2 linked regions of the Saccharomyces cerevisiae S288C genome follow. Changing the gene in region 1 together with any one later gene gives a genetic interaction. Each region holds a gene or a part of one and is shown in the gene's direction. Other genes may lie near its edges.

The links.
Region 2: of STM1 (region 1) and PAN2, extra expression of one rescues a mutant of the other (dosage rescue), as found in Saccharomyces cerevisiae (one study listed by BioGRID).

Annotation. Positions count from the first base shown.
Region 1 is NC_001144.5:438,612-441,905, forward strand, and holds STM1 (Stm1p), read left to right. Parts: upstream 1-1,855; coding exon 1,856-2,677; downstream 2,678-3,294. Other genes in the region: GID11 (Gid11p), read right to left, coding at 1-1,212; PCD1 (8-oxo-dGTP diphosphatase), read right to left, coding at 3,104-3,294. UniProt on the Saccharomyces cerevisiae protein: Ribosome preservation factor that protect a small pool of nontranslating, vacant ribosomes in cells under nutrient starvation conditions.
Region 2 is NC_001139.9:332,465-336,224, reverse strand, and holds the start of PAN2 (poly(A)-specific ribonuclease), read left to right. Parts: upstream 1-1,759; coding exon 1,760-3,760. Other genes in the region: kinetochore-microtubule binding complex subunit SPC105, read right to left, coding at 1-1,339. UniProt on the Saccharomyces cerevisiae protein: Catalytic subunit of the poly(A)-nuclease (PAN) deadenylation complex, one of two cytoplasmic mRNA deadenylases involved in mRNA turnover. PAN specifically shortens poly(A) tails of RNA and the activity is stimulated by poly(A)-binding protein PAB1.

The DNA of each region.
Region 1 (3,294 bases):
ATCTAGGCCATAACTGAACCTACAGACTCTAAATGCACCGTTGTGGGAATGTGGTCTAGTCGAACTAATTTCTGCCATGGGAGTAGCCATGTTTCTGATATCATAAATTGCGCAAGTACCATTTTGAAATACCGTCGCAAATTGCAAGTCGTTTTCGGAAAAAGAGTTATAAAACCCATGGTCTGAATTTGGAGCTTCATATATGTTTTCGATATATTCTGATTCATCAGGTAACGCAAACCGTGGTATCCGTCTAACACGATTGACAGAACTACCCCAGGAAGGATGATTATCGTAATGTAAGGAGAATTGGTTGGTTAATTCATTTTGATTGTAAACAGCAAATTTATTAGAATCGCCAGACACTACCATCGTTTGACCATCATGTGACAAAGAAGCGTTATTCAAAGGAAATTTTAAATCCGCATAACGCTTCACTAGTGTTACATCTCTATTACTTACATCGCATTGGTAAAGATGACCATCATTGTTGCATGCAAAAAGATCAAACTGCATACTGGCCCTGTCATAAAGTGTGACACAATTATTGATGAACTGGCCCAACGTAAAAGTCATCATTGTGTCCGTTTCTTGATTATAAAACTCCACGATGCCCTTCCAGATATTAGGATTTGAATAATGTGAATTTATAGGGAAACTAATATTTTTGGAAATATTAATCGGTTGGGAAGGTGGCGGCAACGAAATATTTGCATCTTGAGCTAAACGGTTCCAATTAGAAGGGAATCCCTTATCATCAGAACCGATTAGACCACCACAAACAGTCAACCCATTTAATTCCGTGAAACATCTCGGCTTAAAGTTGAACTCTACCAGTTTCTCGGAAGGAACATGTAAATTTTTGGAGATATACGAGCCCGTTGTCCTAGAACCTTTTGTAGACGTTTTTTCAGTAGAGTTTTTACCACTGTTACTCGGTTGAATAGAATTATGTCGCCTTACTGGAGACCTCAATACGGAAGAATCCGTATCTAGTACTCTTATCGAATGATCGTAAATATAATACAGTTTACTCTGGTTCATGGAGCCTGGTTTGATACAATCCCGCAACTGCCAATGGTTTATGGAGACCTTGGCATCGTAGAGTTCTAAAGCAGGCATCATATAGTTTTGGTAAACCTTATCAGAGCCAGTATTTAACCGTTCATCTTGCAGCGCCTCCTTAGATTGCCCCGTGCCATCAATGGTCATTCTTTAACACGTATACTTTTGTAACTTATTGCTGTTTTTCTACCACTTTATTCGATCTTACTTGTCGTTGCTTAATCAGCAAAAGTTTTGTACTAGAATAAAGTTGTAATAGGCTTTTAATCCAGAGTCTCCTCCTCCTCACTTTCTGATCATCACCCCTTATTGCCTCAGAAAAGAGATCATACTCCGCTTTAAAGCCGTTCAATGTCACGTGACACAAAGTTGTAGCCGTATAACATATGGCGCTACCATGTTGTTATTTAGACGGGTAACATCACCGTTTAGAAAGATAAAGGAAAGTGAAATTATTGGAATGGAAAGTGTTCCCAAAAGTTCGCACCAACGCAAAAAGAAATTTTTTTTTCAATTTTGATATCATCGTTGCGTAGAGGAAGCCCTAACTGAGTAGAGAAATTATATGGTATTTTCCTTGTAATATTTGATTTTGAGTCGATATCCCCTTTGTTCTTCTTCCTTCCTTCGCTTGTTTTAGTTGTATACTTGGTTTATTGTGGAAGATTTTTTTTTCTGCTTCGTAGTTTTAAATTAGAAGTTATTTCTTTGCAAATTTCTCTTCCCCCCACAGTATTCTTTTAGAGGTGAAGTAGAAATAAACCAAGAAAGCATACACATTTTATTCTCAATGTCCAACCCATTTGATTTGTTAGGTAACGACGTCGAAGACGCTGACGTTGTCGTTTTGCCACCAAAGGAAATCGTCAAGAGCAACACTTCCTCCAAGAAGGCTGACGTCCCACCTCCATCCGCTGACCCATCCAAGGCTAGAAAGAACAGACCAAGACCTTCTGGTAACGAGGGTGCTATCAGAGACAAGACCGCTGGTAGAAGAAACAACAGATCAAAGGATGTCACTGACTCTGCCACCACCAAGAAGTCCAACACCAGAAGGGCCACTGACCGCCACTCTAGAACTGGTAAGACTGACACCAAGAAGAAGGTTAACCAAGGTTGGGGTGATGACAAGAAGGAATTGAGTGCTGAAAAGGAAGCTCAAGCCGATGCTGCTGCTGAAATTGCTGAAGACGCTGCAGAAGCTGAAGACGCTGGTAAGCCAAAGACCGCTCAATTGTCTTTGCAAGACTACTTGAACCAACAAGCTAACAACCAGTTCAACAAGGTCCCAGAAGCTAAGAAGGTTGAATTAGACGCTGAAAGAATTGAAACTGCTGAAAAGGAAGCTTACGTTCCAGCAACCAAGGTCAAGAACGTCAAATCTAAGCAATTGAAGACCAAGGAGTACTTGGAATTTGATGCCACTTTTGTTGAATCTAACACTAGAAAGAACTTCGGTGACAGAAACAACAACAGCAGAAACAACTTCAACAACCGTCGTGGTGGTAGAGGCGCTAGAAAGGGTAACAACACTGCTAACGCTACTAACTCTGCTAACACCGTTCAAAAGAACCGTAACATTGACGTTTCTAACTTGCCATCTTTGGCTTAAGCCTTATATATGAATAATTCCAACTGAAAGAATCCAATAACAGTGTTCTACTTTCTGTTTCTATTACTATTATTATTTTAATTGGTTATTTACTATATAATTTGCAAGTGAAGATGATCATGCTGGCAAACCAAAGAATAAAATTGGGTTGACATCCAATCGAGAATATGACATATCATTTTGTTTTATTTAAGCAATAAAAAATAAATGACTTTTAATTTACTTTTCAATTTTCTTTTTTTTTTTTTCACTTCTGAGATGTGCAAGCGTGTAGTTTGTTTGTATTTGTATAACAATTTCATCATTAGTCATTCTTCATTAAAAACTTTTTGTTATCGATTAAGGACATCCAGTATGATTCTTTTTCTCTCATCTTGATTATCTCTTGAGAGTATTGTTAGGCAACGCATTATACCACAGTTTTTTTTACCAAAGCGAGCGGCACTCCAGCAGGTGCTTCATGTAGTATTCAGGTATCACATCGCTATATTTTAAGTTTCTGTCGCCGTTGATCATTCCTATCTCCCATTCACTTCTTCCGTTCGGTTGCATCTGATTACCATAGTCATGTAGTCCAACTATCAAATCTTCGTGCCCTAGTTCTCCTTTTAACTTTT
Region 2 (3,760 bases), on another chromosome or scaffold:
TACCAGACTGCCCTTCCTTGTCTATTTCGGGGAGTCTTGTTTTCTCAACTATTTTGTTCCCGTTATCATCGACATTTTCCCCATCTTCTTCATCGTCTGTCGCGGTTTGCATGCCAGTATCCTCAGTACCGGGTTCAATAGTGAACACATCATTGGATCTCGTCCCAATCTTATTATCAACATCGCTAAATGTAATGGGTGACATTTTCTCCATCATCTCTAAATCACCATCATTGTCCTCTCCACTAGTATCCTTTGCCTCTTTGACTGGTGTCGTAACCGATGCAGCATAATCAGAGACAGTATCCAATTTGCGCCTCTTATTAGAAGAAAACGCATGCTTTTCGCTGGGAGATTCGTCAATGTGGTGATTGTCGCGGTCAAAGTTTGTCTGTATTTGCGTGAGTTCCATCTCATTACCATCATTATTGATGTTATTGTCGCTGTGTAGACTCATAGGGTTCTGTGGATCAGCATGGAATATATCTGTAATTTCCATCGGCTGAGAGGAATTCGTCTTATTTTCAGATTTTGAAAGGTCGCTTTTATCGTTACTTCTTTCCACGCTATAGTCAGAGGATTTCCCGGTACTGCGTGAGACACTGTTTGGAACGTAAGGTTTAGACTCATATTCTGTCAGATCTATTGGTTCGCCCTCTACTGTATCTTTTGAAATTGAATCATAGTCGTGTACATTATGTATGGCCGTCAATTCCATTGTTTCCTCTCGCACTGCCTCGACATCATCGATTTGTTGACTTGACTCAATGCTTTCTCCCTCTACATCTGGATTTTTCTGTCTGATACTCCGAGGAAAAACTTCAGTCATTTCCATTGATGTGGGATCATGCTGTGAAGCCTTGTTACTATCCGGTGTCGCCACTATAGGTTCTGTCAATTCCATCCCAGATGTATCGGGATCTTCTTCTGCCGCTGTTTTTTCTTCCGTACGAGCATCATCGATTTGAGTAGACGTTACAAGAGGCTCTTCTTGACTAGATATTTTAGTAGGGCTGTTGGTTGAAGTTTTTCTACGTCTTGGTTCCTTAATTTCATTGTTTTGTTCAGGTACGAAAGTAAAACTATGCAACGTAACATCGGGAGCGAATGAAACTCTTCTCTTTACCATACTCTGTAAATTAGAAGTATTGATCCTGGATGTCGTGTTACTACCATCTAATACTTCTTTTTTTGTTATAATCCTGGTAGGAATACGAACACCAGGGTTCTCTAGAAAGCTTGAAGTCATTTGCGAGCTTTGGTTCTGCTTAAGAATGCCTTTCCCGGGCCCCGCATCCTTCTCTCTACCCCCAATCCGGCTTCTTTCATCCACATTCATTGTCAGCCCACTTAGATATCACAAGGGACGTCGTAATCACGGTTACTAAGTACTTAATCACTGAGTGTAGTGTCTAATTAGCCTTTGTTTTGTTATGTGTTTATCTATTTGTATTAAAACGGGGCGGGTGGCGCCTTCTCTTTCGCGTATTGTTTTTTTCAATGAGAGAATAACGAAAAAGAAACATGCTTTTAACGTTAGCATATATAGGAAATAACGTACTATGTGGGCATAGAGGAACACAAGAAATAGAATCTCCAAGAGACACATCATTACCATATAATACACGTTCATTTTAACTAGAATTTTTACATTCTGAAAATTTTTTTATTTGCTTATTTTTTGTTTTGAACTGCATTACACCCTAAGAGATTACTAGAACACAATTGCTATACTGAGTTTCTGAATGGTGAATGTATTATGAATAATTGGCAACATTTCTTCAACAATCCAGTTGATCTTTCGGAACATTTGAAGAAGCCATACTTTCGCTTCGATAATAGGGATAAGGAAATTACAGCGATTAGCTTCGATGAGAAGGCAAACTTAATTTGGAGTGGAGACAGCTATGGTTGCATTTCGTCATATGATCCAACTTTTCAACTTTATACAAGATATAGGGGCCACATAGGTGGAAATTCCGTGAAGGATATTCTCAGTCATCGGGATGGTATTTTATCTATTAGTGAAGATTCCTTACACTTTGCTAATAGAAGAGGTGTTACTAAATTGAACCTCACTAGCATTGATATTGCTGCATTTAGCGAATTGAACACTATGTGCTATTCTCCTCATTCACTGAAAAACAATATCTACTGTGGTGGTGACAACACAAATTGGGGAATTGCGTCCATTGACTTGAACAGAGGTTGCTTAGATTCCCTCTTGAATTACTCATCTAAAGTGAAGTTAATGTGCTCTAATAATAAAGTTTTGTCTATCGGAAGACAAACAGGGACTGTGGATTTGCTAGATCCAACATCGAATCGTACTATCAAATCATTTAATGCACACTCTGCATCCATATCCGCTATGGATTTACGGGATAACACCTTGGTTACAGTAGGGAAGTCCAAAAGATTTTATAACTTATACGCTGACCCATTTGTGAATGTTTACGACTTGAGAACAATGCGTCAACTCCCTCCTGTTTCCTTTTCTAAAGGAACAACTATGGGATCTGGAGGCGCAGATTTTGTTCAATTACATCCTTTGCTTCCTACTGTTATGATCGTCGCCTCAAGTTCTGGTTCGTTTGATTTCATCGACCTTTCCAATCCAACTTTAAGAACACAATATGTTCATCCTTGCCAGTCGATTAAAAAGTTATGTTTGTCCCCCAATGGTGACGTATTGGGTATACTAGAAGCTGATAATCACCTAGATACATGGAGAAGATCATCAAACAACATGGGAATGTTTACCAATACCCCTGAAATGCTAGCATATCCTGATTATTTTAATGACATTACCTCTGACGGCCCAATATCTGTCGACGATGAAACATATCCATTGAGTTCTGTGGGGATGCCGTACTATCTTGATAAACTTTTGTCTGCATGGCCCCCTGTAGTGTTTAAAAGTGAAGGTACCATACCGCAATTAACAGGTAAGTCACCCTTACCATCGAGCGGCAAATTAAAAAGTAACCTTGCTGTGATCTCGAGCCAAAATGAGAAGTTGAGCACACAAGAATTTCCTTTGTTAAGATATGATCGCACCAAATACGGTATGAGAAATGCTATACCAGATTACGTTTGTCTAAGAGATATAAGGAAACAGATAACAAGCGGTTTAGAAACCAGCGATATACAGACATATACCTCAATCAACAAGTACGAAGTACCCCCTGCATACAGTAGACTTCCACTGACATCAGGTAGATTTGGTACTGATAATTTTGATTTTACGCCCTTTAATAACACTGAGTATTCAGGATTGGATCCAGATGTTGATAATCACTACACAAATGCTATCATACAATTGTATCGCTTTATTCCAGAAATGTTTAATTTCGTTGTTGGGTGTTTGAAAGACGAGAATTTTGAAACAACGTTGCTAACTGATCTAGGCTACCTCTTTGACATGATGGAAAGATCACATGGAAAAATATGTAGTTCTTCCAATTTTCAGGCGTCATTGAAATCCTTAACTGATAAAAGACAATTAGAAAACGGTGAACCACAAGAACATTTAGAAGAGTATTTAGAATCGCTGTGCATAAGGGAAAGTATCGAGGATTTTAATTCTTCTGAAAGTATTAAACGCAATATGCCTCAAAAATTTAACAGATTCCTGCTCTCGCAACTTATTAAAGAGGAAGCGCAGACAGTCAACCATAATATCACCCTAAATCAATGCTTTGGTTTGGAAACGGAAATACGAACAGAGTGTAGCTGTGATCACTACGACACTACCGTC